Rattus norvegicus: one gene and its partners. The protein of the gene in region 7 binds, or shares a complex with, the protein of the main gene of each other region. Links are inferred from orthologs where the notes say so. Each region holds a gene or a part of one and is shown on either strand. Other genes may lie near its edges. The genes, in order: Med19, Med31, Med12, Med13l, Med21, Med13 and Med18.

Region 1 (4,350 bases), on a different chromosome or scaffold from region 7:
TGGATCTAGAAAGCCCTATATAGATCAGGCTTACATCAATCTTACAGAAGTCACCTGCCTTTGTCTCTAGAGTGCTGGGTTAAAATGGTACAACCCAAAGCCCCGCAACAGTATTGTATCTTTAATGTAAACAAAGTTAATAATCTTGTTTGAGAGTCCCAGAACATGTGAGGCCTACCCAAGGTTATATTAATACCTTTAGTCCTGGTCATTGCTGTTATAGCATAAATATCTGTATATGAAAAAAAAATATTAGCTCTATGTCCACAACCTTCACGGTAAATGTTAACTGTTCTTAAATATTGCTTCTTAGATGGTTGATGGGCTTCCCCCCACCTCGTATTTTTGTAACCTTCCCTGTTTTCCTATCCCACCTCAGGAAGATAGTGCGCACAGTTGTTATGCCCAGAGCAGACGATTTTTCCACCAAAGTCATTTATTTTGTTGAGTCAGTGACCTATGTCTGCCGGTCTATCAGAGAATTGATTAAGGTTAGACAGCACTTAGTGAACGCTGTGTTACCTTGAAAAATCGCCTAACTACACTGTGATCACTTCGTTAAAAATTAGAAAAATTTAAATGGTATTTCTACCACGGGCCTAGTCTTCGTCAGTGGCGCCCCAAGGAACTTGGAATCACAGAAGAATATTGTTCATCTGTGATGGAAACCCTGGAATCTGTTTCTCCATCTTTAACACGAAGGTAAGGACTAGATAACGGCCTAGGCTCTCCACTCAAGTGTGTAAGCTACACTCGAAACCCGCCCTCCCATCTTCACATGCACCTGCAGGGCAGGGATGGATGGTCAAGGTCGACAGCTACTAAGGCAGGGGGCGCTCACCCAGTCAAAGTCACACGGGTTGCCATCTTCGCGCTGCGTGGGGAGACCGTTGCAAATCGGCGGCAGCTTCCTCACGAGGAGGAAAGCAATGGAAAGCAGGGCAGACAGAAGGCAATAAGGTCTGGCCAGCCATCGAGAAAGCCGCGGCACCGAGTACACCAAGGCAATCAGAGGCGCGAGGACAGCCATCTTCCCTGCCTACACTCTTGCAGGCTCACTCCCGCTCCCCAAATCGTCGTCCTCCGCCCCCAACAGCAAGGCTTCTATTGGGCCAAATATCAGATGCAACGCCTCCAGACCCGGATGTAGATCTCTTATTGGGTGCTATAATAGATCGGAAAATGAATTAGATAGTCTATTGGTCCTCATAATTGTCGCTTTTCTACCTGAGTCATTTTATTGGCTATTAGTCTGTGAAACACTACCTGAACAATCTCTCAGGGCAAAGGAAGTAAGTTGCCGGAAGATGGTGGGCGGAGCTTAGCGTATCCAATGATGGGAAGCTGTTAAACCAAGAGGGTGGTACCCTGTGAAAGTGCTGTCCAATGAAAGTAATTAACGCCAGATCCCGGGTAACCAAGAGCGGCGAGTGCTATGGAGAACTTCACAGCCCTGTTCGGAGCTCAAACTGACCCCCCACCGCCACCAAGCGCACTAGGGTTCGGGCCTGGAAAGCCTCCGCCGCCACCCCCTCCTCCTCCGGGAGGTGGTCCAGGCACGGCTCCACCTTCGACCGCGACCTCGGCCCCCGTGGGAGCGGATAAGTCCACGGCTGGAAGCGGTCCCTTCTACCTTATGCGGGAATTGCCAGGTGAGTAGTGGGCCAAAAGTAGCCAATCAGATAATAGTTTAGGTGACCGTTGTGGCTAGCATCCTGCAGCGCAAGGTGTAAGATAACAGGGCTACGGGTGGCCAGTGGGCAACAGTGTCAGAAGCCCTTTGGCGATTCACAACTCTAAAAGATAACTTGATTTCCCGGGGTGGGTTTGGGTTGGGTGTGAATATCTGGGACTACCTCTAGCGAGAAGTTCTGTGATCCGGGTTCTCTAACCGCTGTTTGTGACTCTATGAAAACGAGCCATTGTTTGGAACTCGGGAGACCTGATTTAACGTTTCTGGAGACAGTAAGATTTTAGTTTAAAGTCTGTCACAAACTTGTTGGTTTATAGCAAGTTGCCTTCCTCGTCAGGGACTTGGAGATTAACCCGCTCAAAGAAAGGACTAGAATTGAATCAATTCTTACATTCATAAAGTTAGTTATTCGGGAAAATTGGGGGGGGGCGTGGCTCAGTGGTAGAACTCTTGACTGCCATGCATAAGGCGCGTGTTCACAGAATCATCTCTGAGTAGGTAACATTCAAGAATAAACAAAGCCATCGGTCCTTGGACAGAGAGAAGATACTAGATAGAAGAAACTACATCAGGAGACCTGTTTTGGAGGGGAAGATGGGGGGGGGGGTGCTTAGAATATCTGAGGGGCAGAAGACACATTGAATTCAAGGAAAGGAACAATTCCAGTACTGATGGAAAATAGGTAGAGGCCTTTATAAGGCAATGTAGGTTTAAAGTTCAAGTTGAAGTCAATTTCAACATGGGGGGGGGGGGGAATGAGCTAATTTAGTGATTTTTTTTTTTAAAAAGATATTCAGCAGAAACATAAGTGAAAATGGGGTAATCAGAAATCAGTGTTCCTAAAAGAGAATGGTTTGGACCAGGACTTAGCAGTAGAGAAGCAAATGAATACAGGATACATGATAAAGGTGAAGCCTACAGAAATAAAGAACTAAATATAAACAGAGGAATTGTGGGTGTTCTGTACAAAGGTTATAGTAGTCTGAGAGTAGGAAGTTATGGAAAGAAAAAATTTGAAGAGCTAAAAATCAAGAGGTGTTCTGGATATGTTAAATCTTAGGGAACTTGTGGTACTATATACCAGCACTCAGGAGGTGAAGGCAGAAGGTTCTGGAGTTCCAGCCCAGCCTAGAGGACATGAGATCCTGCTTCAAAAAAAGAAAAATAGAAGTTCAGTTATCCCAATTAGCTATTAGCACAGTAGTTTAAAGTTCACATCAGTGAGGTGTGTACAATATGTAGCCCTTTTAGATAGATAGGTATTATATTTTATAGTTGAGGACTGAAGCATAAAGAAATAACTATATGTGCTTTAATGACAGGTGTCTTCCAGAAGTTCTCTTTTTCCTTATTTTAGTTGTTTTGCCTCACTATGTAGCCCTGGCTTGTCTCAAATTCACTGTAGACTTGGCTGGCCTTGAACTCACAGAGATCCACTTAATCTCAGCCTTCAGGTATGTGCCACCATGCCCAGCTTCTTCCAGCAGTTTATCTTTTGCATTTCCTGTTCTGATTATGCCATTTATATATAAATCAGTTGATAAATACTGAATCTCCGAGGCAAACGCTGGGTATGGTGGGATTCTGAGAAGGGGAGATTATTAAGCCGGGTTTTTACGTAGCTTACTTTTTGAGATCCATAATACATGGTTTAAGGATGGTGCTTGTATCTTTGTGGGTGTCTGTTTACTACTTTATAGTCATGCTTCACACAGGAAGCAGTGTTTAAAACTACCTGATGGTTTTCAAAATGTGTTAGCCAAAATGACAGCAATAATAAGATGTCATTTGAACTGAACTCTGAAGAATTTATATAGGCAAACAAAATTAGAAAGTTATTTTCTCAAAGGAAATAGTGGTACAGTTTTGTTGCTGTTTTCTACCCAGAGGATACGTAGATCTATCTGGATACATTAGAAATTTTGCAGGAAGATTAGTAGTTGATCAGGCTCCAAAGTTAAGTTGTAATAAAATTTGATTAGGAAGGCTAGGGATGTAGTTTAGTTGGAAGAGTACATGCTTAGCATGCATAAAGACCTCTATATTCATTCTCCATACTTGACAAACCGGGCTTGATGGTATATTTCTATAATCCCAGCCCTTGGGAGATGTACACAGGAAGATCAGGAGCCCAAGGTCATTGCTGGCTACATGAGACCTTGCCTTGAAAAGGTCCATTGGAACTGTAAAGATGACTCTAAGGTCATGCAGTTAAGGACATTTGATGTTGTCCAAAGGACCAAGCTTGGTTCCCATAATCCATATGGGAGCCTCACAATTGTATGTAACTCCAGCTCCAGGGATCCCAACACCCTCTACTGACCTCCATAGGCACTCAAATAATATGTGGCATACATCCACACAACACAACACACACACACGCGCACGCGCACACACACACACGCACACACACCAAATAGGATAAAAATAAATCTTTCAGGATAAATCAAGAGGCAGGTTGATCTCTCAGTTCAAGGCTAACTTGGTCTACCTAGTGAGTTCCAAGTCATCCAAGACTTTAGAGAGAGACTCTATATCAAAAAAAATTTAAAATTTTAAAAAATTATTAGATTCTAGTACCATGGGAATTTAAATAGAGGTTATTTAAATAGAGCACCCCCATGCTTAAAATCACACTCAAGACCTTCCACAAGCTA
Region 2 (4,629 bases), on a different chromosome or scaffold from region 7:
CACAATCTCATACACTGCTTTTTCTCTTCCATAAACATCTCCAATTTTTTTTTTAAAATGTACTGTGTAAAATGTACTTCCCTGTAGATCCTGATATGGCTTGCTGCTAACCCACACAATCTCAGACCAAGTGTCATCAGCAAGGCTTTCCCTGACCATGTTCTCGAAAGAGCGCCCTACTCGCTACCACAAGATAGATACCTTATCTTTCACAGGAATACAACAGAACATCGTCTTACTTTCTCTTCACTTGAGAAGATCTTAGTCTTTTCCACTGCTATAGCCGACAAGTTCTGACTGGTACCAAGCATGCTGTAGGTACTCAGTAACCATCCTCTGCCAATCTCACGCCCCAGACCAAGTGTCATGGCTGCTTCTTCACGTTCCCTCCCAAGATTAGTATTTTTTTTTCTCAATTGCCCTGCCCTTATTTTTCTAATAGCTCCTGACCTATTTTTTAAAGTGTAGATGGAATACTGTGTATAACAACTTAACACGAGAAAACTTATTATGAAATATAAATATTATTAAAGGGTAATTAACAATTTGTGAAAGATGATGCCTTGCTCTGTAGGTTTCAAGCAGGTATATGATCAGGCCAGTAGTCAAGAAACATGACAAATCTGGCCCCTCTTCGCAGATTTCAAGTCGTCAACACATTCTAGAGGGACCTAAGACTATAAAACTTACCTGGTGTAGAGACTCAAAGAATCTCTTTGTCCATCGTCTGGGTTTACACAGTACTACAAATCGGAAACCTTTCTGTGCTGGCTTCAGGTTAATAGTACGCTGGGTCAACAGCAGGATGGACTAAGGTGCTGCAATGTCAATACATGTTAACAGTGCCCAGAAACCACAGCCTGCTTCTTACACTGTTTTATGGGCTGTTTCCATGAAACCAAAGATACTTGGCTCTCCTGGAAGCTGGCTGGCAATTCCTCAGTCCTGGCTAAGGACCATGGCACTTCATCGAGTCATTCTGGCACTCTGCCGAGTGGCTTGCTTGTCTCGCCTGGCTGGGCTCTCTACGCGGTGCACAGTAGTCTCCACCCGCAGGGATGACGACGCCCTGACGTGGCGGGAGGACGTTTCCATGCACTGCGAGGAGGTTTCCACGTGCTGGGAGGACACCTCGAGGAATTGAGGGAGTCGCTTCGCGGAGGGGGTGAGGGAGGGTCCCTCTCGGTGGCGCTGGGAGGTCTCCACTTGCCGGGAAGACGTTAGAACCTGCCGGGAGGACGTCTCCACGCGGTGGGATGACGTTTCCTCGCGGTGGGACGACGTCTCCATGCGGACAGTCGATGTCTCCTTGTGGCGGGTGCTTTCCACTCGCGGGACGGAGGACTTGCTCCTAAGGGGCGAGGCCATCCTGCCCGTACACTTTGGTCAGGAGGAACAAAGAAGCCCAAGGATCATGCTCTGCGTCACGCCACCCGGGGGAAGGTGACGTCAGAGAGGTGTATTACATCAGAGTAGGCAGCAGGACTCAGACCTGAAATCAGAGAAGCCCTCCGGCACGCCCCGCTCGATATCTGCGCGCGCAGTCGGCCCGGTCCGCACAGATGGGCGGGGCCACTCTTCCCCAAAGTGAAGTTGTCCCCGCCCTCGTGTCCCACTCTGCCCCGCGACCGGAAGTAGGACCCGTGACTTCCGGATTCTCCTTCACCAATCCGGGCTGCGGTTGGGTCGGGTTGGTAGTGTTTGCGCCTTTCTGCTTGCTATGGCCGCGGCCGTCGCTATGGAGACAGGTGCGTTGTGTTTTGCACGGGAATGGTCCTTCGCCCCAAAATCCTCTCCCGTTTCCCTTCCCCTGCGCCGTCTTCCGGGCTCAACTCCTCATCCTTAGAGTTGGGACCGGCGGAGGAGAAGGCGGTGTTGCCCCCCAGAATATGGCCTGTAGGACCAACTTTGCTCCTGTGTTGCTCTAACCCCTACTCCAACCCTGACTCGCGGGGCGGGCCGGGGCGCATAGAAAGGACTGAGACCTTCCACTGTCTGCTCTTTGGAACTTCTCCAAACTTGCCTGAAATGTCGGTAACCTGTGTATTCTAATGCATATCACCGTCTTCTCTCCATTGTTTAATCATTCCTGCTTCGTTTTTGTGTAGCACTTTGTTTTTGCTTAACGTAATTAGTTGTGGTTATAACAACATAGGGAACCGTACAGCTATTGCAGACTATCCGATAATCTCCGCTCACGTCCTTCCACAGTGGCGTACAGGTTCTACATATTTTTTCCTCAACGAACTTTAAAGGATTTTTTTATTACTATTTTTGTTTTGGAAACAGGGCTCACTAAGTAGTGAATTAAACTAAATTTCTAAGGAAGTTTCTTCCACACTTTGATATTTGAGTTCATTCATGAGTGTGCATGTGTGTGTGTGTTTATGGGGGTGAGCGGCGGTGCATGCCAAGGTTAGAGGACAACTTGCAGAAATCGGTTGTCTTCCTACAACCCTGTAGGTTCCAGGAATCGAACTCAGGTCATCAGACTTTGCAGCAAGCACCTTTACTTGCTGAGCTGTTTGACCTGCGTTTTATTTTTGTTTCTACAAATCAATGTTTGTATTGTGACTTTTATTTTGGGTGATCGTTCCTTCCTTCTTTCTCTTTTTTTTTTTACTGTCTTTTCTCCTAGATGATGCTGGAAATCGACTTCGGTTTCAGTTGGAGTTGGAATTTGTGCAATGTTTAGCCAACCCAAATTACCTTAATTGTAAGTTAAGTACATCATTAACTTAAGTAGCTCACTAGATCTTAATGGTTTCTGAGAAGAGATGCAATTTGTAATAGTATTTATTTACTTCGATGTGTTTGGGGTTTTACTTGTGCTGGTCTGTAAGTATCAACTGAGCAAACAAGGGCTTGTGTTTTTTAATCCCTTGTGTTTTGTCGGTAGGGATGTTAAGAAGAGCTACTTTACTTAAGAGATTACAGATCAGCAGCCCAGCAGTGGTTGACATACAGAGTGTTTCTTTGTGTCTTTCAGTTCTCGCCCAAAGAGGTTACTTCAAAGACAAAGCTTTTGTTAATTATCTTAAGTACTTGCTTTACTGGAAAGAACCAGAATATGCCAAATATCTAAAGTAAGTTTAATTTTTAAAATCCCAAAGCTGTGTGTACTTTATTATAAATACTAAGTGCTATTATTTAGCAGTTTTCTCGGTGTCAGAATGGAAAACAGCATTTGGGATCTTTCTGCTTTTAGTTGATGTAAGACGCTGTTATCTCTAACTTGGGTTGATTATGACAGGAATTTCATTTATTTCTGCTACCATTCTTACCTCACTCCCTTCAAACAAAACCAAAGAACTGTCTACGTGGGAGCCAGCTTACTCTCTTGGCAGTGTAAGTCAGAGCATACTGTTCGTGCAGGCTAAGATCCAGTGAACTGTTGTAGACTACAGTTCTAATGTAATTTGGTCGTGTCTAACCATGTCACTTAGCACTGCCCCTGTCTTTCTGGGGTTTTGAGGCCTAACAACCCATAACCTGTGACGGTAGGAAGAACTGTTTCCTGAGAGTCTTAGAGGTCCTGCCTTTCTTTGTGGTGTCCTTTGTTTCAATCACTGTGCGTATTAACTCACTGTAAAAGAACAGACACAACAATATCACATCAAACTCTGCTTTGACTTAAAAAGAGAAAAGAAAGCCAAGCTGGCTTTAATCCCAACATTTGGGAGGCAGAGGCGGGCGCATGTGTGAGTTCAAGGCCAGAGCTGCTTCCAGGACAGCCACTCTACCCAGGTAAACCCTGTCTAGACACTGCCCCAAAGGAGGGGACAACAACAAAAACCCCAGAAGTAGCTTGGTGTCCCTTTAATCCCAGCTCTCAAGAGGCAGAGTCAGGCAGATCTCCGTGAATTTGAGGCCAGCCTGATTATGTTGCAAGCTTCAGGCCATTCAGGGCCACACAGAGAGACCCTATTTTAAAAATTAGAGGAAAACATTTCAAACCTTTTTTTTTTTTTTAATCGTAGTCATTTTTCTGACTTGATTCCTGGGCTGCCTGTAGATTTGCTCTTCATGATGCAATTCTAGATTCCTCTAGGAATCCAAATGATAGGCTTGAAATTACTATTAGAAAAGTATGGGGTTGGGGATTTAGCTCAGTGGTAGAGCGCTTGCCTAGGAAGCACAAGGCCCTGGGTTCAGTCCCCAGCTCCGAGAAAAAAAAAAAAAAGAAAAAAAAAAAAAGAAAGAAAAGTATAACATGTTACATGTTAGCAAACTTTTAGCCACCTTCAAGCTCAGTCTCTCCAGCCCAGCTGTTGAAAGATGATTGTCTCCGCTCTGTTGGAGGCTCCCTATGATCATAGGTCCCTCTACTATTAGAGGCAGCTTACTCCATTGATAGCCAGAGGTAAGGGAGCTCTTCTTATATACTCTGATCAAATACACCTCCTTGTAGCTCTAAGCCGTTTGTAGGCTTGTTCCTTATTCTGTTCATCTGTGTCCTCTTGGAGGTAACAGCTATAGATGTTTAAATTCGAGAGAAGTTGTGAAATAACTCCACTATATCTTGCATAATGTTCTGAATAACATGGTAGGAGTGATTTTACCAAAGGTACCATAGTAGTAGAAATGGTGGGCTTGAGATCATTTTTAGGGGAGTATCTGATTTAGAAC
Region 3 (3,630 bases), on a different chromosome or scaffold from region 7:
GGGAGAGACAACTGTGGCTTCTTGCTGCTCTCTCTTCCTGCTAGAGACACTCTGGACTTCTGTCATGTCACATGACATCACATACCCATGGATGAAACTTTTTAGAAATGTCAGCTTCAGAGACGTTCTCTGGTTAGCTTGGTGTATGATGGGTACCCATGAGATGGCATACTGAGAAGCACTGACTGGCATCTCCACCCTACTCTCAGCTTGTCTGAAGCCAGTATCTGGAGTGTTGTGGAAGGATGACAGGCTTCCACAGATTTCTCTCCAGCCTAATGAGCCCCCTCTCCTAGTGGTATACCCCAGTGGAAGAGAGTTGTAAAGAGGCTACACTGTTTAGCTGAGGAGGCAACCTGCCTTTAAAGGACTGAGGGCTTGGAGCTCATGGCGGGTCGCTTGTGAACAGGGACCAAAGGGCAGCAGTGCAGCTATAACTTAGAAATGCAGAGGCCAGAGGGTGAGTAAGGGAGATGATGTGGAAGGAAGGCATGAAGAGTCTGAGTTGTTCAGCCCTGCCCTGGCACTCACAGGAGACCCTTCCATGTGCAGATTCACACACTTCTTTTGCAAAGAAGCTCTGTGTATTGAGTGCAGCAGCTCTGGAGCTCTATATAAATAATATACAAAACCCAACAGTTCAATGTTTCACATTAACAAAAATACTAAAAATTCATTAAAAATGGAGCCTGAGGGAAGGACCCCAACCACTACTGGAGCTCGCCCAAGAAGGGGACTGGGAATTAAGCAGAAAGGCTGGGCCACATCCAGTGTATAAGCAGTTCCTCCAGGTGACTCAGTAGCGTCCAAATATGTTGGTACTGGGCTGTGGCTGGGTATCTGTGAAAAATGAGAGACTGTCAGGGTAGAAGACCAATCAGGGCTCATATTCATGAGGAAAGCTGGTAAGCTGGGAAGGAAAGGGGAAGAGGGAAAGGGACCTCCACAATGTGGGCCTGAAGCCAGCACCTCAGCCACCTCTGCCTACCCCATTCCCTCTTCTTCCCCAGATTCTTCTTGGGAAGGAGGCAGGCTTACTAGAGAGCTGTTGTTGAAGTTGCCGGACCAAAGCTGCTGTCTGTTGCTGCTGCTGGGTCTGCTGAAGCCCCTGGCGCTGGAACTGGGTAGAAATGGAAAGTAGAAGATAGAATTCCAACTTCCCAGCTCCTTCTTTACCCATCCATCTTAACCTATTAGTACTACCCTTGACCTCCCAATGCTACCCCAATACACTCTGTTCCTAGCGCGGATTGACTATGTGCCCATCCTGTGCGGCTTGCCCTGAACCTGTGGCTATAGTTCACCAGCTACCTGGGGCTGGGACTGGGGTTGAGGTTGGGGAGGTGCTGCCTGCTGCTGCTGCTGGTGTGGCTGCTGCTGTTGTGGTTGTTGCTGCTGTTGTTGCTGCTGCTGTTGCTGCTGTTGTTGCTGCTGCTGCTGCTGTTGCTGCTGTTGCTATAAGCACATAAAGAGATCATTTTAAGAAGAGCAATGGAGCTGTGACTTTGTGTTGAAAAGATGGGAGCAGAAAGGGGGAAGGGAGTTGGAGCCAAGAAGCACTGAGGTTCCCTCCAGTTCCACATCTGAAGGAAACCAAATAGTATGTCTGGCAGAGACTGTCCCATTTTCCCCCTCACTATGATCCTTGGGAAATGAAAAGGAGTGGGGAGGAAGCCACTTAATCACCATTATTGAACCTATTATGGTAGTGAAGGCCTATAACTTCAGCATTCAGAAAGCTGAAGCAGGAGGATTGCCATGAGTTTAAGACTGGCCTCAGTTATAGTATGAAACCCTGTCTGAAGAAACCAAAGAAAATAAAAAGTACTAACACACATCAGCCATTGTGCTCAGTGCTTACTACACGACCTCATATTTCAGCTTGGGGATAGTATGGGAAGAATATGTCTTTTCCTTCTTGGGTTCCCAAGTGTCAGATACAATCCCATGGCCTTACCCTTAGGATCTGCTGTTGCTGTTGTTGCTGTCGGATGTGGTACTGCTGTTGTTGCTGTTGTTGCTGTTGCTGCTGTTGCTGCTGTTGCTGTTGTTGCTGCTGCTGTTGCTGCTGCTGCTGTTGTTGCTGTTGTTGCTGCTCAGGCAGGATGGAAGTTGAACGGACGCCTGCCTGGACACCCTGGGCACTCAACGGAGTCATGGTACCCATCATTGGTGTCTGCTGCAGTGTCTGGTGTGAAAACCTCCAAAGACAAGGGTCCAAAGGTCAAAGCACAGGGCAGAGAAAGGGGGTGGTGCAAACCCTGGGTCCCTGACCTGAAAGAAACTAACAAGTCATTGTATTCATTCCTCTTGGCACTAATGAGAGGAGCCCTTCTGGAGTCTGACCGATTTCTAGGTCAGAGAATAAAACACAAAGACAATACTCCATTTTACTGTCTCATAACCTTAATGCTTAGGAATTTTTAGATTCTGTTTTAGCTTATTTTTCTCTTATGAAAAACTGTCTGCACACGATAAGCATTCTATAAACACCTACCAACGGTTTTTATGCTTGCTGTTGCTCCCCACAAACACACCCAGTTGTTCTGCTACTCCATATGCCCTTCCTACCCGAATCTGCACATCCCTGAAAATCTGCAGCTGTGCTCCCTCACTTCGTCTTCTCACACCTTCCCCTACACTCATTCACTCTACACTAATCCCTTAACACATCAAGCCCTTCCTATCACTTTCCTGAGCAAAGCAGTCCTGTCTGGTTGTGTCTCAATGCTGTACCTCAGTATTCAATGTCATAGTCAACTTGCCCTCTGTAAGCTAGGCCCCGCCCCCTCCACTCCACACTACATTTAAGATGTGCTCCTCTCTGTCTCCAGACATTCAATCCAGTCCCATGTTTTGGCTCATGCTGCATCCTTTACCTGGAATGCCCTTCCTTTTCCACATCTCTACAATACCCAATCATAGTTATCTCAAAGGCCAGCTTGAATCCATGAGTCCTTCTCCAGTGACTCTGATCTATACTGGTAGTAGCCCACCTTTTTCCAAGTCCCATTATACTTCTTGGCACCAAACTGAATACCTGATTATGGCTTTGCTCATACCATTCTCTCTCATAACATTCCTCTCATGGTATCTTCTGTGTAAGACCTGTACTTCTCAATGAGGGTAAAAAAAAAAATCTTTGTGGTGAGGAACTATGCACTTTTTTTCCATTATCTTTCCTTGCTCTAGTCCCAGCATAATGCTGGTTCCATAGCAGACAATTAATCAGCCCACTCTAGAGTATTCTAAATCCTATGTTGCAGAGCCTCATGACAGTTGCCCAGGTCTTAACTAAGATTTGACTAAAATTAACCATGAAATTCATTTGTTAGTCCATCCTAGAGTACAACTGCTTTTTCTCCCCTTGAGAAAGGGTCTCATGTAGCTCAGACTGGCCTCAAACCATTATGTAGCCAAGGAAGACCTCCTCCCTGTACCTCTTGCGTGCTACCACTGCAGTTGTGCATGACATAGCAGGCTTTGTGTAGGGCTAAGGATCAGACTCGAGACATCATGCATGCTAAGTAAGCATGCTATCAAGTAAACCTTATCCTCAGTCCTGGTGTTAACTGTTTAATTCTGGATTTAGCAGTCTGTATCATATACTGTATCTATAAACCCCAGGTT
Region 4 (4,529 bases), on a different chromosome or scaffold from region 7:
CTGTGACCAGCTAGTAGGCTGTAGCCTGTGTGTGATGAATATGGGTGGACTCTGGGTATGATGGACCGTCTGACTGGCTGCTCAGGTCTCAGTAACACTACATGTGTGCATAAAGTGTTGGGCATCCCCCTTGTAACGATTCCCTCAATAGCATCTTAACAGAAATGTGTGGCTTGAGGTCAGCAGGTCAGCAATTAGGATTTGCTTTGGACAGATTAGAAAATGAGGCATAGTTAAACTTTGTCGGGCAGGGTCACAGCTAGGCATAGCAAAGCCAGCTCCTGGCATCCTTTCTAGAGCCTTCTGAATTCAGATAGTTCCGGTGTTCAGCCACTCAGTAACTTGGGGATGCACCCGAGCTAGCTCACTAGTTTCTGAGGACTCTGCAAAGTGACCTATGTGTATGAGCCACCTTCGTTGCAGGGTTTAAGGTTTGTGGTACTTTCAAAGCTCCAATTGGTATGTAAGATTCGTCTCCCCTTTATTTCGCTCCCATCACTCTCAACAGCGTTTTATTTTTCCTTTGTTTCTTTGAGACAGTGTAGACCACGCTGGTCTGGAACTCCCAGAGATTACCTGCCTCTAAGTGCTGAGATTACAGTCATGCCCCACCACACCCCGATAATTCTACCTCTTTTCAAGTCAACTTTTTCCTTTTCTCTATTTTGGGGCCAAAAACTCCTGGAGGGCAGTCTCCTGTATCAGCACTTCTTCCAGCCCCATTACTCTGAAGAAGGAATGCTGGTTATTGACCGCTTGGAGCTGGAGGCAGGGCCTGCTCCCCACATAGCACAGTGTGAATGTGGCACCTAAGAGCGTTGGGATCATCTATGCAAGGAATGCCTGCGTGCACGCACACACAGAGTGGGCGCGAAGGGCTCCAGAAGCACGGGTGCTTTAGGAGCTCAGCGCTCCGTAGGCAGCTAGCCCGGAGCCCTGGCTTCCCGATGCCCGGGTTCGAATCCCGCGGCCCCGGGCAAGCGCCTCGCTGCCTTTGTGTCTCCGAATCCTACTCCTCCGCCCGGTGCGATACGGCCGGCGGGCGCGAGGTTCCGAGGAGACACTCCTCGGCTCGCTCCAACAGGCCCGGCCGGCCCACGCCGCGCTTCAGGCCGGAGCAGCTAATAGGGCTCGGAGGCCGCGCCGGGGAAGCCGCGGCCTCCTCGGCCCGCGACTGACGCGCGCCCGCGCCCAGGGCGGGGCGTCCACGCAGCCCCGGCGTCCCACGGCAGCCCGCACCTCTTTCTCTCCCTCCCTGGCTCCGTCCCCGCTCCGAGAGGGCCGCGCTCGGCTCAGCAGCGCCTCCCGCGAGCCACCGCCGCCGCCGCGGCCCCTCCCCCGCCCCCCGCGCGGCCGGCGCCCGTCACGTGACGCACCGCAGCCAATGGCGGGCCGAGCCGCGGTCGGCGGCCGCCATTGCTGTCAGAGCGAGCGAGCCCGGGGAGGGAGGAGAAGCGCGGCCGACTGGGGAGGAGGGGGGGGTGGGGAGGAAGAGGAAGGAGGGGACGGCGCTCGGCTGCCGGGGTCGCCCGCTGGCTTCGTCCGCACCCCCCCCTTCGCGGGCTCGCGCGGCGGCGGCGGCGGCGGCGGCTCCGGGCGGCTGCGGGGCTCGCGTGCCTCACGCGCCGGCGCGGCCGAGGGCGAGTCGCCCGCCGGCTGGAGATAAACAAGGCGGCCGACGAGGCGGCGAGGCGGAGGCGGAGGCGGCGGCCCTGCGCGACAGAGGCGGGCGGCGTTGCCGCGCCGCGCCCCCCGCTGCCGCCGCCGCCGCCCTCGGGCCTCCCGCGCGGGCCTCGCGCCCCGGTGCCCGCGAGCCGCCGCCCGGCCCGGCCCGCTCCGACATGCCCCGCTCTGGCGGCCGGGCTCGCGGAGGACCATGACCGCCGCGGCGAACTGGGTGGCGAACGGGGCGAGCCTGGAGGATTGTCACTCTAACCTCTTCTCGCTGGTGAGTGGCGGGGCGGGGGCCCGGGTGGGGGGCGCGACCTCCCCGCCGCGCAACTTTCTCCTCCCGGAGCCCTGGCGGCGTCGGCGAGCGCGGCGCCCGGCGTGGACGTGCGTGTGGAAGTCGGGGCGCTGCGGACGCCGGGGCGCGCTCGGAGCGCCCACCTCCGTGGCAATCACACCCCTCCCCTCCCCTTCCCCCTCTTTTTTCTTTCTTTTTTTTTTTTCCTCCTCCTTCCCGAAATGTGGAAGGCTTCTCCGCCTTGTGCAGCCGCCGGCGCCGGTGATCTGCAGGCTCGCCCTCTCTCTCCCGATCGGATCGGCCGCTCGCCCGTGTCTGCTTTCTGAATTTTTCTTTCTTTCTACCTCCCTCTCTCTCTTTTTAAATTCCACAATGACACCTGCGATTTCGCCCGAAAACAGTTGATGGAAGGCGATGGTGTCAGGCAAAGGACTCTGGCAGCTGGAGCTCGCGCGGTTGTAAACACGGACAGCCGCCCGCCTCTCGAGGCTTACTATGCCGGAGAGCGGGAGAGCCGTTGCTCGGAGCCCACGGAAGGTGGAGGAAGCTGGTGCTCCTCGCTCTCCTCCGCTGCCTTTAAAAACTGTTTTCTCTGCCTTAACAAGGAACACACACACACACACACACACACACACAGACACACACACGCGCGCGCGAGCAACAAGCTGGGCGGTTTGATAACATCGCTTTTATCTGCCTTCGCCTCGCCTCTCCCGCTCTCGCCTCTGATAATTGACAACTTTTGCTTTGGAAGTGCATCGCCTGCCTTAATCTCGAACCATTTAGGGTGTCAATTGTTCTTCTGGAAGCCTGGCACCGGGTGGCGGCGGCTCGATTCATCGAAATTAAAAATGTATAGGGCTCCAGCAACTCTTTCCTGGCGGTGGCAGTGACATTTGGTGGTAAATGCCATCTTTGCTTTTTATTGGGTCGTATTACCTAGCTCTGAAAACATTCGCGTTGTTAAACCTGGCGCTTAGACTGATAATGGGAGTGCGTGGTCTTTAAATACGCGCTTTGTGCCTGAGTTACTGTATGTGGAGCTCTGTGCCCCGGAGAGTAAGAATTTGTTTAAATATTGAGCAAAGATTTGTAAACAGATGTAAGGCAATTATGTTTCAAGTGTAGAATATAATTGGAAAATTGGTTGAACGGCCTATTTAATTTAGCCTTAAAAACTGAACTTATTTTAAGTTGTGTGCCCAATTTTGGTGGGGGAGCGTTATGGGTGCTGCCTTTTGGAAAGCATGCGTTTATTGCAAATTATTTTCTGGAACCCCTGCTGTAGATAGAAGCTTTTTTTCCTTAGTCCCTGTTTACACTGGATAAATAATTTAGTGTTCAAATTGTAATTAGTTACATTTAATTATGGGTGGCATAGATGTTTTTTCTCCCCTTGGAGATTAGTGGAGAAATACGAATTGTTGCCAACTTTGGAAGTGTCATTCTGTTTTCATGCCGATAAAGAAATCAAGCATGATTTTGGCCTACAAAGACTGAGTGACACAGTACCCCTGCTTCCACTCTTGTAAGCAGACTGATTGCAGGTCACCCCGAATTTTATCCAGAGGCTGAGTTTCAAGATTCAGTTAGCAGTTGGGGTTCTTCCTTTTACTACTGTGGGAATTTACTCTTGATCTTTTGATGTGAGATAAAACTACTTCTGCCTCTTTTTTCACCCCTCCACCCCCACTTCCCCTGTTTGTCATTTAGTATTAGATTCAGGGACCTTCATAGATCAGCAAATGTATTGACTAGCAGGGTATTCCCCCCCCCCCCCCCCAATTTGTCGACTGGGCGATCACAATGACACTTTTACAGGTAATTAAAATAACCAAGTCAGCCACGTTAGTTGGCCACATTACTGTCATCACGCTGAGCAGCAGTGCTGTGTGCATGTGGCTAATTTATATACAATGTGTTGTGCGGGCAAATGCAAGCCTGCCCGGCTGAACAGCCCAACTCTAGGATCCTTCCTCATTTCTCTCAGCTTCAGCGAGTGAGGGGGTAGAGAAGAGATTCTTTGTTGAAGATTCTGAACTTTGATTTTGACTGCATTCTGGGTATTTCTCCCCTAACATATTTAAACCAAAAAGTTGACTTTGGAATATAAAGTACAATTAACTTTTTGGGTGACTAATTTTGGAATGCAGAAATTGGTTTAGATTTAGATTGGTTTAAAAATGTAGACTGTTTATATGGAGGTGGATAAATGGTGTTTAATTTTTAAGAACTTTATCTTTATTTTATAAGCACTGATTGTTGTTTGGCTTCCTTGTGTACTTGTGTGAGGGTGTTGGATTTCTTGGGGTTGGAATTGGAGACCATTGTAAGCTGCCCTGTAGGTGATGGGAATTGGACCCAGGTCCTCTGGAGGATTAGCCAGTGCTCTTAACCCTGGAGTCATCTTTCTAGCCCTAAAATTTTTAAAAAACCAAACCTAATAATAAAAGAGACCCGGGGCTGGGGATTTAGCTCAGTGGTAGAGCGCTTACCTAGGAAGCGCAAGGCCCTGGGTTCCGGAAAAAAAGAACCAAAAAAAAAAAAAAAAAAAAAAAGACCC
Region 5 (2,627 bases), on a different chromosome or scaffold from region 7:
AACTGCTCTGTGCTTCGTACATTACTTTTTTGTTGTTAGCTTTGGTAGATATATTTGCCAGCCAGATTTTCTCAATCTCAAACTACCACCTTTTAAGAGCACTTATTTTTAGCCAGGTGGTAGTAATGCACACTCTTAATCTCAGCACTCTGGAGGCAGAGACAGGATGTCTGAGTTAAAACCAGCCTGGTCTATACAGAGTGAGTCCAGGACAGCAAGGGATACACAGAGAAACCCTGTCTTGGGCAGTAATTTTGTTTGGAATAAGTTTGGCGTATATATCTCAGTACTTATAAAAGGAAAAGGAAGATTACTCTTGCTTGGTTTTTTTTTTTTGTTGTTGTTGTTTGGTTGGTTGGTTTTGGTTTGTTTTTTTTCTTTCTTTCTTTTTCTTTTTTTTTTTTTTTTACTTTCTTTTATTGAGACAGGTTCTCATGTAGCCCAGGTTGTCCTCAAAAACATCTCTGAGGATATCCTTGAAATTCTCATCCTCCTGCCTCCAGGTCCTGGGTTTACAGGTGTGTGCTACCACCTACAGTTTAAGCAGTGCTATGGATCAAACCCAGGGCTTCATGTATGCTATGTAAACAACCATCTGAACTCTGTGTGTGTGTGTACAGGTGCATTTAACCTGTATACATTTATGTAGAGGCCAGAGTTATCTGAGGGTATTTTTCTTATTTATTTATTTATTTATCTATTTATTTATTTGTGTATTTATTTATGACAAGGACTCTCAGTGAGCAGAAAGCTCACATTTTCAACTAGATTAGCTCTCCAGTGAGAACCTAGGGTCTCTGTTGTGGATACAGGGGAACCAACTTTGTGTTTGGTGGTTTTGGTTTTAAAAATTAGCATATGGGACTGGAGAAATGGCTCAGCAGTTAAGAGCTTAGCTGTTCTTTCAGAGCATCTGGATTTAACTCCTAACATCCACATGGTGGTTCACAACTATCTAAAACTCTAGTCCCAGATGATCTGATGGCCTCTGTGGGCACTGAATGCTCATGGTCCTCATACATACACACAGACAAAACACTCATACACATAAATAAAATCAGCATAAAAATGGTTTAGCGGCTGGCAGAGTGGCTCAGCTGAGTAAGTAAAGACTCTGCCCCTAGATCTGACCTGATTTTGAACCTCAGGACCCACACTATAGAAGAAAAGAACAGACTCTTACAACAGTCATTTTTGCAATTCAAATTGACTTTGTTGTCTACTAGTTCAACCACTTTGGTGTCTTAGGATTTGTTTGTTGAGTTTGAAGGAGACATTTCCTTCTTTCTTTTTTTAATATGTATGATGATTTTTTTTTCTACATGTGTACCATGTGGGTGCCTGGTGCCTGTAGAGTCTAGAAGAGGACATTAGGTCCCCTGAGATTAGAGTTATGGCTGTGAGCTGCCATGTGGGTTCTGGAAGTTGAATCCAGGTCCTCTGCAAAAGCAACCAGTGCTCTTACCCATTCAGCCCGTGTTTTCTCTATTGCCGTTTGCGTATCTGCTGGGATGGAGAGAGCTCAGTCTCCAGAGCCACTCAGAACAAATCATTTACAGCTGAGTCTTTGGTTTTCTTGTAGTACAACCCTGGCTGGCCTTGAGCTCAGAGATCAGCCTGCCTCTGCCTCCCAGGTGCTAGCATTAAAGGTGTTAGACGACATAACCTGGCTTTCATGTATTTATTCCTTAAGCTAGATTAATACCAAATTTAATTTACCTAGATTCATATTTGTTTGTATGATTAAACCATTTAATCCAAACTAGATGTAAATAAATCCCTGAAGAGTGGGTGTTTTAGCTGCAGCCTGTGATACTGGGCTCATTTTATTTCAGACTATCCCTTTGTCTGACTGGTTTGTATGGAGAACATTGTTATGAAGAGGTCGTTGCCATTTTTGGTTCTTTTTTTTTTTTTTTTTTTTTCCGGAGCTGGGGACCGAACCCAGGACCTTGCGCTTCCTAGGCAAGCGCTCTACCACTGAGCTAAATCCACAACCCCGGTCGTTGCCATTTTTAATAAAATCCTTAACATTGACAGATCTTTGTAACCTTGACCTTTTTTTCCTTTTGCTCAAGCTTGCAGATCAGTTTTGCAATGCCATTGGTGTATTACAGCAGTGTGGTCCCCCTGCCTCTTTTAGTAACATTCAGACAGCAATTAATAAAGATCAACCAGCCAATCCTACAGAAGGTGAGCTCTGCTTAGTTTGACTGGCATTTTTTTCTACAATTTATAGCTTGTTTGTAAAAAATGTGACTGTGATTAGAGTATATTGCTCTAAGTTTTGCCATAGATTCTTTATTTATTTATTTTTTTTACATATATTTGGTGTATATGTGGGTGTGCCCACCATAGCATGCACACAAGAGATCAGAGGATCTGGAGTAATTCTCTCCTTCCATTATTTGGGTTCTGGGTATCAAACTTCGGTCATTAGACTTGGTGGCACGTGCCCTTATCTGCAAAGCTCTCATTGGCCCAGGAATGACCTTATCAGTGTAATTCATAAGCCGCATAATTTTACTCATGTCCAATAAAGATTGCTACCTCCTTAGAGGAAAGTGTGTGTGAGTTAAGCTGAAGTTTGCTTGTGTGACCTTAATAAGAGAAACATCTCATCTATG
Region 6 (4,575 bases), on a different chromosome or scaffold from region 7:
ATAGACAGAGTACCAACTCTCATGATTCTTACTCTCAGAGTTCACTTGCTTCTCAAAATAACCATAGAAAGTAAGGATGGCAGTATAGTAATGTATGCCTTACATGGCTTAGCTGCTCCAGGCACTAGAGCTCAGGTTGTATTAATGTGTCACATAACAAATATAACGTTTGTTTCCCTCATTTTACAGATGAGGAAACTGAGTCACAAAGAGGTAAAAGACTGGCTTCGAATCCTGAACAGCAGGACTTTATTCCTAGCTTATTAACCACAAGGCCAGATCATTTCGTTTTTACCTTTTTATTATAACTTAAAAAGAGAGGGTGAGGTTGATGTCTATCCAGCTCTGATTTCTCTAGTCCTAGAGTTTCTCGATGTACCCAGAGGCCTTATGGAATAAATGAGAGTGCATTGGAATTTCTTTCTTTTTCTTTTCTTTCCTTTCTTTCTTTTGCCAACTTTCTCTTCCAAAGAATTCGAACTGATTTCCAAGTAATTCTGGGTTTTGAAGTGAACCTTCCTGTGCTGCACATTCCCCAGCCAGCAGAAAGCTAGGGCCAAGGCTTGGGTCATCTTAACCGGGGCATCCAGCAGATGGCGCCATCTCAGTAGCCACCAGCTGGCCGCCGGGTCCCCGGGGCTCCGAAAGCTTCCCTGCCCTCCCTCACCGCCTTCTCTCTCCCCCCCTCCCTACGGAGCCCGGCCCACGTGACCTCACGGCGGCCAATGGGCGAGCAGAGAGGGCGAGCTGGTCCCTGTGGCCGCCATTAAAGCGAAGGGAAAACCCGTGAATTCGGATTAAAGGGGGAAAAACACCGCCCGCTGGGCCCACAAAATGGGGGAGACTACGGCGTCCAGGCGGTGAGGCGGCAGGAGAGCAGACGTTAGGCAGGCTTGGCCCAGGGACAACACGAGGACAGAGCCGGAGAATGGACTGAGCCCGCAGACACCGCCACCACCTCCGCCGCTGAGGAGACTCTGGGCTTAAGGACATCGCCGCTGCCGGGCCGGGGGCCCGGGCTGCTCTGCCGGTCCTCGCCCTTCCCGCCCCTCCGCGGGCGTCCCCGGGCCGCGGAGAACCCTCCCGGGCGTCAGGGCTCGGCCTGCTCCCACTCCGGCTCTGACTATTTATCGTGTCCCTGATTGTTATTTTTTTTTGTTTTTCGTTTTTTCTTTTTTAAATCTTTTTTTTTTTTTCTGGTGGAAGGGACAGACATCCCTTCCCCTCCTCTCCAGAGAGGGACGCGCGTCCGCGGGCTCCGCAGTCCCGGCGGCCGGCCGAGCGCGGCGCGGCCCTCCCGCCTGCGGCCTCGGCCCCGGGCGGCTGGGTGCCTCCGGGCGGCGGGGGCCGCGGCGGCGCCGGGGGGCGGCGGGGAGGGCGGGCGGCCCGGCGGCCTCCTCCCCACCGCCCCCCGCCCTCCCCGGTGTCTGTGTTTCTCTCTCTGGTCGGAGGCGGCGGTAATGGCGGATGGTGGGTTGTGGCGCCGGCGGCGGCTGCTGTGAGGGACGATGAGTTCCTCCTTCGTGTCGAACGGGGCCAGCCTGGAAGATTGTCACTGTAACCTCTTCTGCCTGGTGAGTGCGGGGGCCGCGGGCGATGGGGGAGGGGGCCGCGCCGTGCGCCCTTGGGCCGTGGGGGAGGGGGTCCGGGTCGCATCCAGATGCCGGTGTCCCCGGGCTAGGCCCCGCCGCCGGAGTCGGCCTTCTCCGAGGCTCTGCGGCCGCCCCCGGGAGACAGCGTCCGCTCACCCACCGGCCAGGGCTCTGCTAGGAAGAGTCTTGCCTTTTTTTTTTTTTTTTTCTTTAAAGTCTTTCCCCTCCTCCTGTCTTGTTTTGGAGTCTTTTTCTCCATCGTAGTCTTGTCCTTAACTTGGGTTCTTATCTGGCCGGATAGTAATATTTTCTTATGTGCTTCTTGCTTGCCCCCCCTCCACCCCCCGCCCCTTGTATGGAACAGCGTATCCCTTTTCCACACTTTCCAGGATTGCCCCTGCCTGCTTCACTGCCTTTACGCCCTTCCCTTGTAAGTGGGCTTCTCTTAAACAGGACCCCCCAAAACTTATGTATTAAAACCCTCTTCGTTTTATAAGTTAAACTAACACAGGGGTAGTTTCCTTATGGGTGACTTCAGATCTTTGTGTAAAAACAGTGTTTGCCAGTTCATATGTTTTCTTTTTAAACTTTGAAAACATTTTGCCATTTTGACAATTTCTAGCCATCTTGCTTTTATTAGAACATTATGTTTTTGTGAGAGTGGAGGGGCTAGTGGAGGAGGTACTGTGGTTTCGCACTAAACGTTCTATATTTGTCAGTTTTGCTTACGTTTTAAGAATGTTTTGAGCTGGCTGTTCCTTTTATTGAACTGAAAAGTGTGGGGAAGCTGGAATTAGGGATGTTCTAGTATGTATATGTAGGTCGGCCCAAATCGGATAACACCCAATAGTTAAGACTTTTTGTCAAAAGTACCAACTGTTGCAAATATCTAGTCCTGAATTAAACGATATCCGAGCTTCGTGAATGACTTTAAGTTGGAGTGACTTTTTCATTTTTCTTGTGCTGTGGGAAATATTAAGTCTATCATAGGTAAGTGAATTAAGTGGGTGGAGCATAACTAGTTGGCAAGCGTAAACTGCCAGTCATGTATCAGCAGTTTCATTTTTGGCACCGTATGCTTTCTGTCACCAAGTTAGAGTAAAGAATTATGAATTTCCTTTGTTGAATCTCTTTCACGATATGGTAAATGGGGATCTTTAACGTACTTCTGCCTTACAGATTAGACTGGTTTTCTCGACAGTGTCCATTAATCAGCATCTCATCACATGTAGTAAGATGTACAGCAGGTTTAACGTTTCTGTCTTCCCCAACTGGATCTATTTTTGGCACTTCGGTTTTTTTGAAGATAGATTAGCACAAATCTGACAGCTCCTTGGAAGTAGTTCTTTTCCTGAAGATGTGTGCTCGTGGGGAATTAGCAGGCTTTTTTTTTCTTTTCAGAAAAACATTCAGAGTCTTTTCATTAGAGCCATGACGTCTTACGACGTTGCAATGAGGGCCTTTACTTTTCAGTTCACCAGGGAGCGACTGTGACTGACGGCTAGAGAGGAATGTAGGCTAGAGACGACAGACAGGCTTACCATCATTGTTTCCTTGGTCGGCTTCCGATATGCTGTGTTTATTACAGACTGGCTACTCACGGGCATCTTTGATATTTTATTTAACAGTTTTGTATTCTTTTCCTTCAGTTCTTGTTGGTTGAAACATTAAAATTGGCCATGGTGTTTTGTTTGTTTGTTTGTTTGTTTGTTTTTTTAATTTTGTCAACTTTCAGTTCTTAAGCATGAATTGAAAATAGTGATTTTAATGAATCAAAGACTTTATAGTGAATATATATTTATATATAAATATGTAGTAACATAATATATTATATTTAATAATCGATATTGTTTATTTGAGTGAATATACAATAATATAGATATTATGCTTTCTTTTCCTTCAGGCCGACCTGACAGGAATTAAGTGGAAAAGATATGTATGGCAAGGCCCAACTTCTGCCCCTATTCTGTTTCCGGTGACAGAAGAAGACCCCATTTTGAGCAGTTTTAGTCGATGCCTTAAGGCAGATGTACTCGGTGTTTGGCGGCGAGATCAAAGACCTGGAAGAAGAGAATTGTGGATATTTTGGTGGGGTAAAGATCCCAATTTTGCTGACCTTATTCACCATGACTTATCAGGTGAAAGCAATTTATCCTTTTTCAATGTGCCTTAGCAACGTTGTATACTTTCCCCAATGTGCATATGCTGTGGTGGGCTGTCTTGTCAGTGGGAAGCTATAAGAGCAGTTGCCATGCTCTGTTTAACCATCCTTGTTTTAGTTTCCTCAAGTTAGCCATGTAGATTACAGCCCAGCTCCCTTCTGTAGTTTCTCACAGACAGTTTGTATCTAGGGAAAGCATTTTCATTAACCTGAGAAAAATGGAATCTGGAAGCATGGTGTTTTTCATAGTTATATAATAGTTTTGAAGTCAAGTGTAACTCACCTTTGAGTCTATTTTGCTATGTTCTTTTTGTCTAACCCTGTGGGCGGGTCTAGAAATGTAACTTTGGCATATATTTTCAAAAGTATAGTTTTATTTTAATATTATTTAGGATTATGTGTTAACCCAGGGAGGTATATGCTGTTTTTTGGGGGGTGGATGGGAGTGTCTTTTAGATACTGCTTCATCAAAGAATAAATTACTAAAGACAGTGCCATCTTTATAACTTAAAGGACAAAGGTCAGTCTGAAAGTTTGCACAGAAATAGTTTATTACAAGCACATCAATATTACTTCCTTTTTATTTTCTTGACTTTTAGGGCCAAATGTACTTGAGAAAGCAACTATAGCCCTTGATGAAAATTACTGGTTATGTTTATTTTAAACTCAGTATAAGTGTATTTTTTATTGATATAAAATAAACTTGGAGGAACCAAGTTCTAGTTTGATAGGATTTTTCACAGTTAAATTGAATTTCTTTTTTTAAGGTCTTTAAAGTTTTCTGTGTGAAGAGGGAGAGCAGGTGTGGATATGTGTGTGCCA
Region 7 (4,362 bases):
TTTAAGAGGGGCCAATAAGATGGCTCAGTGGGTACAGGTGCTTGCTGCCAAGCCTGAAGACCTGAGTTCAATCCTCGGTACCCTCATATATACATTTATATTGGAGGCCATTGAGCAACAAAAAGCAGGAACTTACTGAGGCCCATACGGAAATGAATGAAAAGCGAAATAACAAGGCTAGATCTCAGAGACAGTCCAGTCAGCATGCACAGTACATGTATGCAGTTAGACTCAGGACGGAAGGGCAGAAGGTCCCAACTGTCCATGGCCATCCAGCCAGTTAGAGGGATGTTAGAGCCAGTCAGTCCAGGGGTCGGGGAGGTGGCTCAGTAGCTAAGAGCACTGGACCTGGGCTCAGTTTCCACCAGCACCCAAACCGTGGCTCACAATCACCCACAATTCCTTTCCAGGGAACTGGACACACTTGTCTGACCTCTGACTCACAAAGACTCATACAAATTTAAAATCCTAGGGCTGGAGAGATGGCTCAGCGGTTAAGGGTGCTGACTGCTCTTCCAGAGGTCCTGAGTTCAAATCCCAGCAACCGCATGGTGGCTCACAACCATCTGTAATGGGATCCGATGTGTCTGAAGACAGCGACAGTGTATACATAAAATAAATAAATCTTAAAAAAAAAAAGATTTAAAATCCTAAAAGAAAAATCTTAATTATATTTGAAAAAAAAAAAATAAGTTGGCCTGGGCTACGTGATACTCCTGTTTCCAAACAACAAAAACAACCTAAATCGTGTCATAGGTTATCAAGGACATAATGCTATGAGAAATAAGTCAGTCACAAAACCAGGGACCTCACTCATGTGGGGCATCTAAGTTGCCAAGGAAGGAAATACAGTGGAAAGGTAACTGTTAAGAGCTAGGAGAGGAGCTGGAGAGATGGCTCAGTGGTTAAAAGCACTGACTGCCCTTCCAGAGGTCCTGAGTTCAAATCCCAGTAACCACATGGTGGCTCACAACCATCTGTAATGGGATCCGATGCCCTCTTCTGGTGTGTCTGAAGACAGCTACAGTGTGCTTATATACATAAAATAAATAAATAAATCTTAAAAAAAATAAAAGAGCAGAAAAAAAAAAGAAAAAAATAAATAAAAGAGCTGGGAGAGAGGGAGACTCAGTATGAGTTTTAATTTTTTTTTTAATTTTATTATTTCTTTTTTAAATTTCACGTGTGGAAGTGTTTTGTCTTCCAGTTTATCTGTAAACCACCTGTGTGCCTGAATCCATGGAGACCAGAATAGGGCATCACATCAACTCCTCTGCAGCTGGAGTTACACACAGTTGTGAGCTGCCGTGAGGGTGCTGGGAATTGAACCAAGGACTTCTGTAAGGGTCTCTCCTCGCCCTGAGTTTTACTTTTTCAAGATGAAAGAGAATAAATGAAAGCCAGGTGCTGGTGGCCCACACCTGTGATGCCAGCACCTGGGAGACAGAGCAGGTGGACCTCGTAGTTCTGAGTTCCAGGCCAGCCTGGTCTACAGAGCAAGTTCTACTACAGTGAGGGTTACACGAAGAAAACCCTGCTTAGAGAAACAAAGTGAGAGTGTGTGTGTGTGTGTGTGTGTGTGTGTGTGAGAGAGAGAGAGAGAGAGAGAGAGAGAGAGAGAGAAAGAAGAGGAGAGAAGGGAGGTGGGAGGTGGGAGGGGAGGGGAGGGGAGAGGAAGGGGGAGGGAGGGAATGAATGAGAGAGAGTAAACAAGTGTAGCACACCTGTGATCACAGGCACTTGAGGCCTGACTGGTCTACAGAATGAGTTTCTGGCCACTGAGCCATCTTCCCACCCAACCTCTTCTAAACGCAATTACTGGGTGACAGGAACCGTGCAGTTGCCTTTATGTAAGTCATCTTGACTTGCTTTAACAAGAAAAGGAACGAAAACTTGGTAATGCATGCTCCGTGGCTGACTTACCCTGCAGGAGGTACTCCATCATGTTAATGGTGCCCCCAGTGACTGGCATCATGGTGACTGGAGGTGCCTCCATGATGCCTCTAATTAGGTTCAAGACGACAGAACTGCAAACAGATCTTCCAACCGGGGAAGCACGGGATACACCTGGAAGAGTCACATTTGTCCATCCACTGTTTTCTGTGGCACTGGCCTTGAAACCAAAGCTCATTCATTCATAACTTTGAATATCTGCTTATACAGCCGGTTCCAAGAACGGGTGACGCAGAAACAAGAGAGGTCTGGCCCTGGTGATCCAGAATGACCATCTAGTCTCAAGTTCTGAACCTTCTAAAAGTTTTTCTATGTCACCTTGAGGCAGCTATGCAACCTCTTGCTCCTTTAAAATAACCCCGGGGCATATAACCACACAGACCCTCCCCCACCCCCATGCGGCTCAAATGAAAGAACCGACATACATATTCAAAAAAGGTGACGTCACTTTGGTCTACGCTGAGAGGCCTCCTTTCCAAACATAAAGAAATAAAAGCCGGTCGTGTTAGGGGAACATCTGTAATCTCAACACTCGGGGACAGAGTTAGGAAGACAACTGCGGCTTCGGGCTAGACTGGTCTATATAGCAAATCCCGGCTAACTAGGGCATCACAGTGAGACTGTCTCAAAAAAACCAAAAGACCTAAGAACCTTGTCTACCCTTCGTTCTATGCAGAGGCCATGGAGACTCAGTGAGAGCACACGCCGGGATCAGACTAGAACTGGTTCTGCCTTTTTGAAAACGCCTTTACAAACGAGCCAGGCGGGAAACATGAAGTTAAAGTGACTGCACCGGTCCTCCCACTCGGGGATCCGGGACACGTGTGCACTTACACTAGCAACACGTCTCCGTTCGCGCTACAGATCCATGCAAAGCTGGACTTAAATCCACGCGTGCACACCCGCAATCCGCACCCCCAAATCCCTCCTGCACAGATCCAGAGAAACCGCCAAACATTCCCTTCAGCACTTCCGGTAGGAAGCTGACGGACAGGAAACTTCTTCGCTACCGCCCCGAAAAGTAAGGGTGCCGAGAGGGCAAGGAAGGCGCCCGCCTTCTGGCACCGGTGTGCAAGAGCGCACGCGCAGAGTGCGGGTCCGCTGCGGTGTTGGGGTCCTAGTCTAGAGTGGTACACTGGAAGGTTACTGTAGGCCTTTACGTCATAGGACAGCTCTAGGAAACGGTTTTTGATTTTTTTGTTTGTTTTTTTTTCAGCTTCGGCGACCTGGATGTTTTGATCAGATCTCTTGAAACTGATTGGATACAATATTTAAATTTTGAACTCAGCCACTGGGGGGAGCGAGGAGGGAAAGAGTCGCAGTGAAAAAGATCAGAAGGGCAGGGGGGTGGGGTGGGGGCTGGCAGTGAGCGGGATGTAAAGTAAGTTAAAAATTAAATTAAATTTAAAAAAAGAAGGGAAGTATGTTTCAAATCGGAAACGCTAAGCACAGCGTTGTGTATTTATAGACCCCAGCAGGAACAATATTTTCTTGTGTGCTTTCAAGGGTCTGGAGAAACAGCTCAGTGCTAGAGCCTTGCCTGGTATGTGCAAGGCCATAAGTTTAATACAGAACAACAGCAAACTCGTTCGATTTTCCATGCATACCCACAACTTTAAATACGTGGGACCAGGCACAGTCCGAATCTGAGAACCTCAGGAGGCTGCGGTAAGGATCTCTCCAGCAGAGCCATTCAACACTTAAACAATATTTTGAGGGTTTTTTTCCAAAAATTAATTAATTAGGGCTAGAGAGATGGCTGAGCAGTTAAGAGCCCTTGCTGCTCTTGCAGAGGTCCCCAATCCCTACATGGTGGCTAACAATCATTTATAATTCCCCTTCCAGGAGATCTGTTACCTCTTCTGACCACATCACTCACTGCATCCCTGTGGTACACATACATACACCCTTGCAAAACACTCGTAACACAAAATATAAAATAACTAGGGGGCCGGGGAGATGGCTCAGCAGTTAAGAGCACTTGCTGTTCCTCAGAGGACTTGGGTTCAGTCCCTAACACCCATATCAGGTGTCTCACAACTACCTGTAACTCTAGTTCCATGGGAACCGACACCCTCATGTGGCATCCATGGGCATCTATACAGGACATATACGGTGTACATACATTTAGGCACACATATACATTAGATAGATAGGTAGTAGGTAGATAGATAGATCGATACATAGATAGAAGGTTGATTGATAGATTGATTGGTAGATAATTAGATAGAAGGTTGATTGATTGATTGGTAGGTAGATAGGTAGGTAGGTAGAGAGATACGTAGCTGGATGGATAAATGGATGGCTAGATAGAGACTCTAAATTCAACAAGTTCTTCTTGAACTCTGTACATGTGCCAAACACATAACGGACATAGAGTGAGGCACCCTTAATCCTCCAGAACCCCTC

What was found.
Region 1: Med18 (region 7) and Med19 share a complex: the UniProt entries of both Homo sapiens proteins name them as parts of the mediator complex. The link is inferred for Rattus norvegicus from reciprocal best matches to the Homo sapiens genes MED18 and MED19.
Region 2: Med18 (region 7) and Med31 share a complex: the UniProt entries of both Homo sapiens proteins name them as parts of the mediator complex. The link is inferred for Rattus norvegicus from reciprocal best matches to the Homo sapiens genes MED18 and MED31.
Region 3: Med18 (region 7) and Med12 share a complex: the UniProt entries of both Homo sapiens proteins name them as parts of the mediator complex. The link is inferred for Rattus norvegicus from reciprocal best matches to the Homo sapiens genes MED18 and MED12.
Region 4: Med18 (region 7) and Med13l share a complex: the UniProt entries of both Homo sapiens proteins name them as parts of the mediator complex. The link is inferred for Rattus norvegicus from reciprocal best matches to the Homo sapiens genes MED18 and MED13L.
Region 5: Med18 (region 7) and Med21 share a complex: the UniProt entries of both Homo sapiens proteins name them as parts of the mediator complex. The link is inferred for Rattus norvegicus from reciprocal best matches to the Homo sapiens genes MED18 and MED21.
Region 6: Med18 (region 7) and Med13 share a complex: the UniProt entries of both Homo sapiens proteins name them as parts of the mediator complex. The link is inferred for Rattus norvegicus from reciprocal best matches to the Homo sapiens genes MED18 and MED13.

Annotation. Positions count from the first base shown.
Region 1 is NC_086021.1:90,167,438-90,171,787, forward strand, and holds the start of Med19 (mediator of RNA polymerase II transcription subunit 19), read left to right. Parts: upstream 1-1,391; 5' UTR 1,392-1,435; coding exon 1,436-1,652; exon of another isoform or gene 1,653-1,841; intron 1,842-4,350. Other genes in the region: Tmx2 (thioredoxin-related transmembrane protein 2 precursor), read right to left, coding at 842-1,030. UniProt on the Homo sapiens protein: Component of the Mediator complex, a coactivator involved in the regulated transcription of nearly all RNA polymerase II-dependent genes.
Region 2 is NC_086028.1:57,335,925-57,340,553, reverse strand, and holds the start of Med31 (mediator of RNA polymerase II transcription subunit 31), read left to right. Parts: upstream 1-1,664; 5' UTR 1,665-1,720; coding exon 1,721-1,748; intron 1,749-2,638; coding exon 2,639-2,716; intron 2,717-2,989; coding exon 2,990-3,086; intron 3,087-4,629. Other genes in the region: C10h17orf100 (uncharacterized protein C17orf100 homolog), read right to left, coding at 967-1,368. UniProt on the Homo sapiens protein: Component of the Mediator complex, a coactivator involved in the regulated transcription of nearly all RNA polymerase II-dependent genes.
Region 3 is NC_086039.1:70,464,713-70,468,342, reverse strand, and holds the end of Med12 (mediator of RNA polymerase II transcription subunit 12), read right to left. Parts: intron 2,202-3,630; coding exon 1,958-2,201; intron 1,456-1,957; coding exon 1,312-1,455; intron 1,121-1,311; coding exon 1,039-1,120; intron 841-1,038; coding exon 797-840; 3' UTR 566-796; downstream 1-565. UniProt on the Homo sapiens protein: Component of the Mediator complex, a coactivator involved in the regulated transcription of nearly all RNA polymerase II-dependent genes.
Region 4 is NC_086030.1:43,662,712-43,667,240, reverse strand, and holds the start of Med13l (mediator of RNA polymerase II transcription subunit 13-like), read left to right. Parts: upstream 1-1,421; 5' UTR 1,422-1,876; coding exon 1,877-1,948; intron 1,949-1,978; exon of another isoform or gene 1,979-2,868; intron 2,869-4,529. UniProt on the Homo sapiens protein: Component of the Mediator complex, a coactivator involved in the regulated transcription of nearly all RNA polymerase II-dependent genes.
Region 5 is NC_086022.1:181,294,160-181,296,786, forward strand, and holds part of Med21 (mediator of RNA polymerase II transcription subunit 21), read left to right. Parts: intron 1-2,078; coding exon 2,079-2,193; intron 2,194-2,627. UniProt on the Homo sapiens protein: Component of the Mediator complex, a coactivator involved in the regulated transcription of nearly all RNA polymerase II-dependent genes.
Region 6 is NC_086028.1:71,670,764-71,675,338, reverse strand, and holds the start of Med13 (mediator of RNA polymerase II transcription subunit 13), read left to right. Parts: upstream 1-1,437; 5' UTR 1,438-1,508; coding exon 1,509-1,574; intron 1,575-1,698; exon of another isoform or gene 1,699-2,582; intron 2,583-3,495; coding exon 3,496-3,730; intron 3,731-4,575. UniProt on the Homo sapiens protein: Component of the Mediator complex, a coactivator involved in the regulated transcription of nearly all RNA polymerase II-dependent genes.
Region 7 is NC_086023.1:149,949,736-149,954,097, forward strand, and holds the start of Med18 (mediator of RNA polymerase II transcription subunit 18), read right to left. Parts: upstream 2,938-4,362; 5' UTR 2,788-2,937; intron 2,068-2,787; 5' UTR 1,997-2,067; coding exon 1,924-1,996; intron 1-1,923. UniProt on the Homo sapiens protein: Component of the Mediator complex, a coactivator involved in the regulated transcription of nearly all RNA polymerase II-dependent genes.